2 linked regions of the Coturnix japonica genome follow. The protein of the gene in region 2 purifies or fractionates together with the protein of the main gene of each other region. This does not show direct contact. Links are inferred from orthologs where the notes say so. Each region holds a gene or a part of one and is shown on either strand. Other genes may lie near its edges.

Region 1 (6,311 bases), on a different chromosome or scaffold from region 2:
ATAGATCCCCATCTCAGCCCCATAGATCCACATCTCAGCCCCATAGATCCACATCCCAGCCCCATAGATCCACATCCCAGCCCCATAGATCCACATCCCAGCCCCATAGATCCCTCAGCCCCATAGACCCACATCCCAGCCCCATAGATCCCCATCCCAGCCCCATAGATCCCCATCCCAGCCCCCATAGATCTACATCCCAGCCCCATAGATCCACATCTCAGCCCCAATAGATCCCCATCCACAGCCCCATAGATCCCCATCCCAGCCCCATAGATCCACATCTCAGCCCCATAGATCCCCATCCCAGCCCCATAGATCCCCATCCCAGCCCCATAGATCCACATCCCAGCCCCATAGATCCCTCAGCCCCATAGATCCACATCTCAGCCCCATAGATCACACAACCCAGCCCCATAGATCCACATCCCAGCCCATAGATCCCACCATCCCAGCACCATAGAATCCACATCCCAGCCCCATAGATCCCATCCCAGCCCCATAGATCTACATCCCCGATCCCAGCCCCATAGACCCACATCTCAGCCCCATAGATCCCTCAGCCCCATAGATCCACCCCTCCATTAAGCCCCGCCCCCTTACCGCCTCATCCGATTGGCTCCTCCTCCGTGCTGACGTCACAGGGGGCGGAGCTTCGGCCAGTCCCCGCCTCCTATTGGCTCTCCATTGCTGCAATGGATCCAAGCTCCGCCCACCGCCCTGCAGGCCACGCCCACAAGGGGGCGGGGCTACAACAAAAGGGGGCGTGGTCAGATAGGTTGATTTCCGTATAAGGCAATGTGGGCGGAGCCAAGCCAAGCCCCGCCCCCAGTCATTCCATATATGGTAATGTGAGGGTGAAGCCCCGCCCCCTCAGTCTTAGTTCCATATATGGTAATGGGGGCGTGGCCAAAGCAAAGCCACGCCCCCAAATCATTCCATATAAGGTAATAGGGGAGGTGAAGCCCCGCCCCCTCAGCTCCCATTCCATATATGGTAACAGGTTCTTCCATATATGGCAGTGTGGGGCGTGGCCTAACGGAATATCCCCATTGGTTCTTCCATATATGGCAATGTGGGCGTGGCCAGTCACTTGGTTCTTCCATATATGGCAATATGGGCGTGGCCAAGCTAAGCCCCGCCCACCCCAGCCTCCTATTGGCTGTAATGGAGGGGGCGTGGCCTTACCTGGGTGGGTCTGGGGGGTCCGTGGGTGTTGGTTCAGCACAGCTTCACTATGGGGCAGAGTGGGGGGGTTATGGGGCAGCTATGGGGTCTACAGGGCACTTATGGGGCACATATAGGGCAGCTATGGGGTCATAGGGCACTTATGGGGCAGCTATGGGGCCAACAGCTCACTTAAGGGGTAGCTATAGGGGCTATAGGTCAGCTATGGGGCAGTTTGGGGTCTCCTAAGGCAGCTATGGGGCACACAGCTCACTTATGGGGCAGCTATGGGGCTGTCATGGGGTCTTAGGGCACTTATGGGGCACATATAGGGCAGCTATGGGGCCAACAGCTCACTTAAGGGGTAGCTATAGGGGCTATAGGGCAGTTATGGGGCAGTTTGGGGTCTCCTAAGGCAGTTATGGGGCACATAGCTCACTTATGGGGCGGATATGGGGTGGTTATGGGGATTATAGGGCACTTAAAGGGTTGATATGGGGCCCATAGATCACTTGTGGGTCACATATAGGGCAGTTATGGGGTCAAGAGCTCACTTAGGGGGCAGTTATGGGGAATACAGAGCATTTATGGGGCAGCTATGGGGTGTCTATGGGGCAACTATGGGGTGTCTATGGGGCAGCTATGGGGCTTCTATGGGGTATCTATGGGGCAGCTATGAGGTGTCTATGGGGCAGCTATGGGGCATCAATGGGGTCTCTATGGGGCAGCTATGGGGCAGCTATGGGGTGTCTATGGGGCAGCTATGGGGCACTATGGGGCTCTCACCTCCTCCTCAGCAGCGCCGCCGTTCTCTCTTGCAGCCCCTATGGGACAGAAGCGATGTAGAATGGGGGGGCTCCGGGCCCCATAGCGCCCCATAGAGCCCCATATATCCCCATAGCGCCCCATAGAGCCCCATATATCCCCATAGCGCCCCCATAGAGACCCATAGCGCCCCATAGAGCCCCATAGCGCCCCATAGCGCCCCATAGCACCCCATGGAGCCCCCTAGCGCCCCATAGAGCCCCATAGCGCCCCATAGGGCCCCATAGCGCCCCATATCGCCCCATATAACCCCATAGAACCCCATAGAACCCCATAGAGCCCCCTAGCGCCCCCTAGCGCCCCATAGGGCCCCATAGCGCCCCCATAGAGACCCATAGCGCCCCATAGAGCCCCATAGCGCCCCATAGCGCGCCATAGCACCCCATAGAGCCCCATAGCGCCCCATAGCGCCCCATAGCACCCCATAGGGCCCCATAGCGCCCCATATAACCCCATAGAGCCCCATATAACCCCATAGAACCCCATACAGCCCCATAGCGCCCCATAAGGCCCCATAGAGACCGATAGAGACCCATAGAGACCCATAGCGCCCCCCACCTCCATCCGACTCCTATGGGGGGCGCAGCCAAAATGGCGCCCGCCCCAACATGGCGCCCGCGCCCCGCCCTCCCAGGGGATGAGACGCGTGTTGATTGGTTGTCGGTTGTGATGGACGCGGCGTGCGGCCAATGGGAAGGCGGAGTGAGTGGCGGGACGGTTGAAAGAGAAAGCTCCGCCTTCTTGTGTGGAGATGAGAGCGGTGATTGGTTGGGATGAAGAGATGGACGCGGTGAGCAGCCAATGGAAAGGCGCAATGTGTTACGCCCCGCCTTCTAAACAACAGCTCGTGCTTCGATTGGCTAAAAGGTAAAACGGACGTGATCACAGACCAATGGGTAAAGGGCAGCGATGTCCCGCCCTCTGAACGCGGACTCTGGTGCTGATTGGCTGTCAGCCGGACGGACGGGGCAAGCGACCAATGAGAGAGCGAGGAGACGAGCTGAGGAGGCGGCGCGCGAGGCGGGAGACGCGGCGGGAGGGAGGTGAAAAATGGGGGAAAATGGGGAAAAAACGGGCAAAAATGGGGGAAAATGGGGAAAAACGGGCAAAAATGGGGGAAAAGAGGCAAAAATGGGGGTTTTGGGGGGTTTAATGGAGTTTTATGGGGCTCTATGGGGTTTAATGGGGTTCTATGGGGTTTAATAGGGCTCTATGGGGCTCTATGGGGTTCTGTGGGGTTCTATGGGGTTTAATAGGGTTCTATGGGTCTCTATGGGGTTCTATGGGGTTTAATAAGGTTCTATGGGGCTCTATAGGGTTCTATGGGTCTCTATGGGATTCTATAGGGCTCTATGGGGTTCTGTGGGGTTTAATAGAGTTCTGTGGGGTTTAATAGGTCTCTATGGGGCTTTATAGGTCTCTATGGGGTTTAATAGGGCTCTATGGGTCTCTATGGGGTTCTATGGGTCTCTATGGGGTTCTATGGGTCTCTATGGGGTTCTATGGGGCTCTATGGGGTTCTATGGGGCTCTATGGGGCTTAATAGGGTTCTATGGAACTCTATGGGGTTCTATGGGTCTCTATGGGATTCTATAGGGCTCTATGGGGTTCTGTGGGGTTTAATAGGGCTCTATGGGGTTTAATAGGGCTCTGTGGGGCTCTATAGAGTTCTATGGGGTTCTATGGGTTTCTATGGGGTTGAATAGGGCTCTATGGGGTCTCTATGGGGCTCTATGGGGTCTAATAGGGTTCTATGGGGCTCTATGGCGTTTAATAGGGCTCTATGGGTCTCTATGGGGTTCTATGGGGTTCTGTGGGGTCTCTGTGAGGCTCTATGGGGTTTAATAGGATTCTATGGGGCTCTATGGGGTTTAATAGGGTTCTATGGGTCTCTATGGGGTTCTATGGGTCTCTATGAAGCTCTATAGGGTTCTATGGGGTCTCTATGGGGTCTCTATGGGGCTCTATGAGGCTCTATGGGGTCTCTATGGGGCTCTATGGGGCTCTATGGGGTTCTATGGGGCTCTATGGGGTTCTATGGGGCTCTATGGGATTCTGTGGGGCTCTATGGGATTCTGTGGGGCTCTATGGGGTTCTATTGGGCTCTATATGGTTCTGTGGGGCTCTATAGGGCTCTATGGGGTTTAATAGGGCTCTATGGGGTTCTATGGGGTTTAATAGGTCTCTATGGGTCTCTATGGGGTTCTATGGGGTTCTATGGGTCTCTATGGGGTTCTATAGGGCTCTATGGGGTTCTGTGGGGTTTAATAGAGTTCTATGGGGCTTTATAGGTCTCTATGGGGTTTAATAGGGCTCTATGGGGCTCTATGGGGCTCTATGGGGTTCTGTGGTGGCTCTATGGGGTTATATGGGGTTCTGTGGGGCTCTATAGGGTTCTATGGGGCTCTATAGGGTTCTATGGGGTCTCTATGGGGTCTCTATGAGGCTCTATGGGGTCTCTATGAGGCTCTATGGGGTCCCTATGGGTCCCAATGGGTCTATATGGGTCTCTATGGGTCCCTAATGGTCCTTATATGTCTCTATGTGTTTCTATGGGGTTTTTAGGTCCCATCCCCCACACGCCGCCATGTTGTCCCTGAAGGTGAAGGTGGAGAAACCAGGTGAGTAATTAACATCGTAATTAACATCTTAATTAACATCATTAATTAACACAGACTTAATTAACACTAATTAACCCCAAGAAATCCCCCAATTTCCGCCATTTTGAGCCCAATTTCTTCCTTTTTGGGCCTAATTTCTTCCATTTTGGGCCCAATTTCCCCCATTTTGGGACCAATTTCCCCCATTTTGGGCCCAATTTCCACCTTTTTGGGTCCAATTTCCACCATTTTGGGCCCAATTTCCCCCATTTTAGGCCCAATTTCCACCATTTTGGGTCAATTTCCTTCAATTTTGGGCCCAATTTCCCCCCATTTTCGACCCAATTTCTTCCTTTTTGGTCCAATTTCCCCCATTTTGGGCCCAATTTCCCCCATTTTGGGCCCAATTTCCCCCATTTTGGGCCTAATTTCCCCCATTTTGGGCCCAATTTCCCCCATTTTGGGTCAATTTCCTCCAATTTTGGGTCCATTTCCCCCCATTTTAGGCCCAATTTCCCCCATTTTGGGCCCAATTTCCCCCATTTTGGCCCCAATTTCCTCCATTTTGGCCCCAATTTCCTCCATTTTGGGCCCAATTTCCACCATTTTGGGTCCAAATTCCTCCATTTTGGGCTCAATTTCTGCCATTTTGGGCCCATTTTTGTCAATTTTGGGTCAATTTCCCCCATTTTGGGCCCAATTTCCTCCATTTTGGGTCAATTTCCTCCAATTTTGGGCCCAAATTCCTCCATTTTTTGGCCCAATTTCTTCCTTTTTGAGCCCAATTTCTTCCATTTTGGGTCAATTTCCTTCAATTTTGGGCCTAATTTCCACCATTTTGGGCCCAAATTCCACCATTTTGGGCCCAATTTCCGCCTTTTTGGGTCCAATTTCCTCCATTTGGGGCCCATTTTTGTCAATTTTGGGTCAATTTCCCCCCATTTTGGGCCCAAATTCCTCTTTTTTGGGTCCAATTTCCTCCATTTTGGGCTCAATTTCTGCCATTTTGGGTCCATTTCCTCCATTTTTAGGCCCAATTTCCACCATTTTGGGTCAATTTCCTTCAATTTTGGGCCCAATTTCCCACATTTTGGGCCCATTTTTGTAAATTTTGGTTCAATTTCCTCCAATTTTGGGCCCAAATTCCTCCATTTTTTGGCCCAATTTCCTCCATTTTGGGTCAATTTCCTCCATTTTTAGGCCCAATTTCCACCATTTTGGGTCCATTTTGGGCTCATTTCCCCCCACTTTGGGCCCAATTTCTTCCATTTTGGGCCCAATTTCCCCCATTTTGGGCCCAATTTCCCCCATTTTGGGCCCAATTTCCCCCATTTTGGGTCAATTTCCTCCATTTTGGGTCAATTTCCTCCATTTTTAGACCCAATTTCCACCATTTTGAGCCCAATTTCCACCATTTTGGGTCCATTTTGGGCTCATTTCCCCCCATTTTGGGCCCAATTTCCACCATTTTGGGTCCAATTTCCGCCATTTTAGGTCCAATTTCCTCCAATTTTGGGTCCATTTCCCCCATTTTAGGCCCAATTTCCCCCATTTTGGTCCTAATTTCCCCCATTTTGGTCCAATTTCCACCATTTTAGGTCCAATTTCCTCCAATTTTGGGTCAATTTCCCCCCATTTTGGGCCCAATTTCCTCATTTTGGGCCCAATTTCCCCCATTTTGGGTCAATTTCCTCCATTTTTAGACCCAATTTCCACCAT
Region 2 (6,701 bases):
GTCTTCAGAACTTTAACGACTGCCGTGTCTCCGTTCTTTGCTCTTTCAGCTCTTAAAAGGAAAAGATGAAAATCTGACTGGATTTCTGGATCCTGGAAACTTTGGAGACAGCTTGTGAGTCAGCTTGTGCTTTGGTCTGCATTTGTGTCCCTTTGGGTTATTACCTGTATCTTATCACTAATACTAGCTAGTTAATTTATAGATATATTACTATTTATATATTATATTAAAAGGCATTTCAGCTCTTTGCTGGTTGAGGCCTTTTCAGCATAGCATTGCTCGATGTCTGCTCTTGTTCATGTTTCCATGGTCTTTTCTATACGATGTAAAGCGTTAGGAAGAAAAAGCAAGTTCTGAGGCCTTCAGATAGGCCAAGAAGTGTGTTCAGTCAGAAAGCAGGTAGTGAAAGCGCTGTCTAAACTAAAGGGCTTTTTTTCTCTTTTCCCCTGTAGCAAAGCCATCAACAAGGCCTATGAGGAGTATGTCTTGTCAGTAGGAAACCTCGATGAGCGAATATTCCTCGGGGAGGATGCAGATGAAGAAATTGGAACTCTCACACGGTGCTTAAATACACCCTCAGGAATGGAAACAGCTGAGCGAGTACAAGTGAAGCATAATTTACAGCAGCACTTTGACAGAGTGAGTCTGGCACAGTCCTTTGATGTTCCTGTGGAGAAGGAGTTGTCCAATTGTGGCGTTTCAGCGTGAGGTCATTTTGTCACTGCTCAGATACTTCTGTGTTAGTATTTGACACAGGCATCCAAGCCACAGATAGACCTGATGCTGATGGTTGTTACTGGGAGAGAACTGGTTTGGGTTGTTTGATTCCAGCTCTCCTTTCATAGATAGATATATATTGTAACCAGCTAAGAAACAATTCTAGCACCTGACACTTTAAGTCTCTTACAAGGTCTGAGTGCTGTAATAATGTACAGAGAGATGCTTTGTTTTCTTTCTAGTCTAAATCGCTTCGGATGTCGACCCCCCTCACTGGCCGCAAGTACATTAAGGAGAGCAACCCCTATGTGACACCCATTTCCATAGCAACGTACAGCTTGAGCCGCCTTCACACCATGCTGGCGGGGCTGAAAAATGCCCCCAGTGAAAACCTGGAGCAAATCTTCAGGTAACTTTGATGCTTAGCTACAAAAGTTAGAAACTATAATAACAAATGTGAAATAGCGTAACTTAAAAGGTAAAGTGTTGGAAGCCTGGAGTGAAATAGGAGCCAGAGGGACATTCAGCTTCAGAAAGGCTCTTGTCTTTATTTCTGCACGTTTATCCTTGAGAGATCGACAGTGATAACAACACCCAAATTTGGAGCTTCACTAACAGCAAACTGCCATTGCAATTTTTTCAAGCCTTTTCTTATTAATTCACATTGGAATACGTTGTTTAGTATTAAACTCTTATGACGAGTTGACGCTCACTGCAGTAGAATTTGCTGTGGATGTCTCACAGTGCATTTCCAGCAAGGCACGTGTGGGTGTGTTTGCATTGCTGTCTATCAAAGATAATTTACAGCTTCATGCTTTAATCCTATTGTAGGTTTTTTTGGTGTGTGTGTATTTGTGTTTTGTCTTAGCAGAAATAGAACACTTAAACTAGCTTGTATTTTCAGGGCGTGTTCCAGAGATCCCTCACAGTCTATTGCAAACAGAGTCAAAGAAATGTATGAAGTGTATTGTCAGAGCATGCAGACTGAAGAAGAGTTCAGTAATTTGTCCAAAGGTGGGAAACATTTTACTTACATAAACAGGAATTCACATGTATTTAAAAACACTGATCTCTTCCAAGTAAACTCTGCCTTATGTAGAGGCTGTGCTTTAGCACAAGAGTCTTTTCTATTTCTTCTCTCTTTGCCTGCTAGTCTTACAGTAGGGCAACTTTCAACCCTATATAAACTTCCATAATCATACTTGGCATAAATCATAGGGACTTGATGATTTTTCTATGATGTTTTACAGGAGGGTGGAAAGAAAAGCACTCAGAATTGTTCTTCTCTCAAGGGTGCCTTTTTGTCACAGCTGCACAGGAGTCCACACAAGCAAATAAGCTGCTGCTTTATCACTGTAGTTTAAGATGAATGATGACACCTTTACTGCAGTTCACAATATTATTTGTGTTTACAGATGTGGCCAGCAAGCATTTCCGTCGTGCTGAGGTGCTCTACTACAAGGTTTTGGAGGCAATCATTGAGCAAGAGAGGAAGAGACTGGGAGACGCTGACTTATCTGTAAGGACAACTACTCCAATTGCACCTTATGTTTCAAGTTGGATCTACAAAAAAGGAAATATTGATATATATTTATAATATTTTATTACATACTGCTATTTTAAATGAGTAAATCTCCCAGGTAGTTGGAAGGTGTACCTGAATGGAAGGAAAACTACAAGAAATTGTTTGTTTGAGAACAAAAATGGTATATGAAATTTATAAAGAGTAAAGATGTCTTCATTTGGATTCTGTTCCATCAGGTACAAAGGGAAATCCCATGTTTAAAAGCTGGGTAATGTTGCTGTGGAGGCAGAATAGAAAGCATGATCCTGTTGTGTTGTTACACTGTAGATGAAGCATTAAAACAGACAACTCTCTTGCAGGCTGTACTGGAGCAAGACGTGTTCCATCGCTCCCTGCTGGCGTGCTGCCTTGAGATCGTCACCTTCACATACAAGCAGCCTGGAAACTTTCCCTTCATCACAGAAATATTCGACATTCCAGTTTATCACTTTTATAAGGTAAAGTGTTTAATAGCTAGAAATGTTGATCAAGCCCTGCGTACTCAACTTGTATTAAATAATCTCTTTACCTGAATGCTAAAATGTGAACTAACTTCATTCTTAGCTTTGCCTCTTTTTGTCTTGAAAGTACTTTACAGCTGGCTTGGGCATCTAAAAATCAGACTGCTGTTAATCAGTGGAATGCAGGAGTTTGTCCAAGTGACTAATGAATTGTCACCTATCTTGAACTAGGGACCAGGGATCCTGAGCTGCTGCTGCAGCTGTTCTGCATTCACTGCTATGTGGGAAGATAAACTTGCAGCCCAATTGAACCACACTGACACAGTCTAACAATTGTTCTTGTCTCTTCCTTGAGAAGAAGTTAGGATCTCATTTCATTGTAAGAAGAAATCTATGAAAACAAAGAGGTTATACTCAGTCACTGATTTATTCAGTATTACATGGACTTCATCCTTGTCTGCTTTACAGGTAATTGAGGTTTTCATTAGAGCAGAAGATGGCCTTTGTCGGGAAGTTGTGAAACACCTTAATCATATTGAAGAACAGATCTTGGAAAGCATGGCCTGGAAACAGGAGTCCATCCTGTGGGACAGAATCAGAGATAACGACAACAAAGTTCCGAGCTGTGAAGAGGTGAGCGCTGCTCTGTATTGTGTAACATGGCTCACGTGGGGCTCCTGTTCAGCAGAATGGTGGAGGGTGGACATCAGCTCTTGCAGGAGAGGCTTCGCATGCCCAGACTTACACAGTTTTTAGTTTAAGGTTACAGTATTTTTTCAGTGTTCTTCATTTTTCTTCTGTATAGTTTCACTGTTCAACATGTTTAGACTAGAAGTTCTAAAAATCAGCTGTGCATTGAATTTGTGCTACAGCTGCACTGATAAAAGTACAACTATTTTAGGTCATGCCACCTCAGTACTTCGAGAGATCTGCTGCCAGCAGTGTTGTCAGTTCTCCATTGACACCAAGACGACTAAATGAGGTCCGAGCTGAAAGTGGAGGCCTGGGAAAAGGTGAGCTATTTTTCAAGCACAACGTATTGATCACTCCTACACTGTGACCTGAATTTACAATCTAAATGGCATACAGGAAGGAAGCTGCTCTAGTGGTTACTGTACAATCAGGCACCTGTAAATGCTATTTCTGTTGTAACCTGCATAGTTAAGTCAGATGTCTAAGACTGAAACCTTCCTTATTTCAGATCAGAACAGTCCCGTGTCAGTGGTTTCAGGAGTTTGTGTCTATTAACACCATCTGTGTACACACATGTACATGTATAAATACATCAGCTCTGCTCAGCAGCTTGGTTTGTTACACCAGATTAGAAGCTCCAGTGTATGTTCAGCTCTGTGAGGCTTCAGATTTTTTTTTACAGAGGAACTAAAGCATAACGCATTTGCTGAGAAAAAGCTACTCAGTGCCATGTTACATGAGATCAAATAATCTCATAATCTGTGAGCCACAGATGTAGACATTAATTTTAAATGCTTCCAGTTGTCATCTTTGGGGTCTCATCAGATTTCTTTTTTATCTATTTGTATAATAAGGGATTTTACAACAAGATTGTTTTCTTTTTGTTTTTTAAACCCACAGGCATTTCATCTTCCCCTACAACCCTGTATGACAGATACAGCTCTCCTACAGCGCATCCTACGAGGAGGAGGCTGTTTGTCGATAACGATAATCCCTCTGACACCTCAACTCCAGTCAGAGTTGCCCAGCAGCCCGTGGTAAATACGGTGCCTGTGCAGAATGTGAACCCTGACACCGTGTCAGTAACTCCAGTGCCTGGCCAGACATTGGTTACAGTAGCAACTGCCACCGTGACAGCCAATAATGGGCAAACTGTGACCATACCTGTACAAGGTAAGAGAAAAGCTGCTGTCAGATCAGGCTGATTTCTGTCCAATATCCAGTAAGGGGATGTGGGGGAAAACAGCACGCCCAGAGCAGGAAAGCAGGCTTAAGAAGGTATGAATAGATGAGCAGAATTTAGAGACGGCACAAAGATGCTCAGTGACTCTGTTAATACAACAACTTTTTCAGTGAGCTTTGCTTCCTCAGCTGGAAGAAAGTGACGTTATAATTAAAGATTAGTTCAATTCCGTTATCTTCTTGTTTCCTTATCTATAATATACTACAAATTATAATCAATTAATGTAAGGTACACTGAATTATTAAGAAAAAGCTGTAACAGGAAACACCATCCACACTAAACAACCCCCTACAACTCGCTCTTATGTCAGACTCTTTTCTTAAATTACAGGTATCGCCAATGAAAATGGAGGAATAACTTTCTTCCCAGTGCAGGTCAATGTTGGGGCCCAGCCGCAGGCAGTCTCTGGCTCCATTCAGCCCCTCAGCGCCCAGGCTCTCACGGGCCCCCTGAGCACTCAGATGTCGGGGGCAGCGCTGCAGCTCCCAGGACAGGTCACTGTTCAGCACATCACCTCTGGAGAGCCAAGGCCAGCCCAGCCCCTCACTGCTGCCACAGCTGCTCGGTCCCGGAAGATGGGCTCGCTTTCCCTCTTCTTTAGAAAGGTACTTTTCAGCCTAATTCGTGCTTTGTTTAGTTTGTATTTTGGTAGCTCTTCTGTGATATTTTAATATCTTTGGTAGCTCTCCTGTGATATTAAAATATCTCCTTATTGCTAATATTAATAAGAGAATATTTAGCTTCAAAGATAACATGTTTTGTCTGATCAGATGCATACCTGAAGAGCTGTGTTCCTGCACAGGGCTTCCTCGCTGTCAGGGTAGATGAACAGTACGGCTGTCACTAGCTGGCAAGCAGATTGACATCTGTGGCCAGCAGCTGCTTAAACGTGTCCATCTTCTTTCAGGCTCTTAAAGAAAGAGAAATTTACTTTGGAAATATTTAATCAATACAGAGGTTTCTGTATTTCCAGATAACTGCAGAATTCAAAAACAAATGCTTTTGTAGCATCAGTACCAGTATAGCAGTGTCTTAATCTTGTAAGCAAAAGCAGCTCATTTCAGTACTTGTCATTAGTTTATCACTTGCATGGCTTCTACAAAGGACTCACATCCAAGTTAGAGCTCAGTTTGGACAAGACAAGCACGGTAGATGTGGTCCCTTTCCTAGAGGTGTATCATTTAGCTGTCTCCTTTCCTACAGGTCTATCATTTAGCTAGTGTTCGTCTGCGGGATCTCTCTGTCAAACTGGACATATCTGATGAGCTGCGGAAAAAAGTCTGGACATGTTTTGAGTATTCCTTGATGCACTGCCCTGAAATCATGATGGACAGGCATCTGGATCAGCTGCTGATGTGTGCTATCTACGTAATGGCTAAGGTAAGCTGAATAAAAACAGCGTGTTTTTTAAGGCTCGGTAGGCCAGAGAATGCTCAAACAACCTGCAAAAACAATCTCAACAAACCAAACAGGGAGGGAAAACACCAACTAAAAACAACCAGAGAAGAACTAATAATCTCTCTTCTTAGGTTACTAAGGAAGACAGGTCCTTTCAGAACATTATGCGCTGCTACCGGACACAACCACAAGCCAAGAGTCACGTAAGTACAGTCAAAAATCTCTCTGTTCCCAAAGCAGAACGAGGCATTTAATATATGACATCATCTAATGCTATGTAAGATTTAATATTAAATGATGCATTCTCTGAGCCACTGCCCTTAAATACAACAGTCACACCCAAATCCTGCAGTACTGAAAGCTGCTGCTGTTCAACTGTACCTGTAATTTAAAATACCTTTGCTTACAACCTACACTGACAGTGCCTTCTGGATAACAGTCAGGAGGCTGCCTGCATTTTCCCCTGTAGAAAACAATGCAGTATCAAACAGTGCTCCAAAAAGCAGATGTATGATGCAGTGTTGCTTCCAGGCTGTGTAACTGCACATCCAATCACACTTACTGTTATGCTCTCATTTCCCTGCAGGTCTATCGGAGCGTCCTGATAAAAGGCAGGAGATGTCGT

Evidence for each region.
Region 1: the proteins of RBL2 (region 2) and LIN37 purify together in Homo sapiens (affinity purification with western blotting; 5 studies listed by BioGRID and IntAct, with this or other methods). This does not show direct contact. The link is inferred for Coturnix japonica from reciprocal best matches to the Homo sapiens genes RBL2 and LIN37.

The regions. Positions count from the first base shown.
Region 1 is NW_015439939.1:36,749-43,059, reverse strand, and holds the start of LIN37 (protein lin-37 homolog), read left to right. Parts: upstream 1-2,886; 5' UTR 2,887-2,901; coding exon 2,902-3,035; intron 3,036-4,557; coding exon 4,558-4,613; intron 4,614-6,311.
Region 2 is NC_029526.1:4,013,884-4,020,584, reverse strand, and holds part of RBL2 (retinoblastoma-like protein 2), read left to right. Parts: intron 1-49; coding exon 50-114; intron 115-452; coding exon 453-639; intron 640-959; coding exon 960-1,126; intron 1,127-1,621; coding exon 1,622-1,731; intron 1,732-2,132; coding exon 2,133-2,236; intron 2,237-2,601; coding exon 2,602-2,739; intron 2,740-3,150; exon of another isoform or gene 3,151-3,210; coding exon 3,211-3,375; exon of another isoform or gene 3,376-3,643; coding exon 3,644-3,755; exon of another isoform or gene 3,756-4,335; coding exon 4,336-4,608; exon of another isoform or gene 4,609-5,008; coding exon 5,009-5,283; exon of another isoform or gene 5,284-5,588; intron 5,589-5,881; coding exon 5,882-6,058; intron 6,059-6,207; coding exon 6,208-6,279; intron 6,280-6,638; exon of another isoform or gene 6,639-6,662; coding exon 6,663-6,701. UniProt on the Homo sapiens protein: Key regulator of entry into cell division. Directly involved in heterochromatin formation by maintaining overall chromatin structure and, in particular, that of constitutive heterochromatin by stabilizing histone methylation.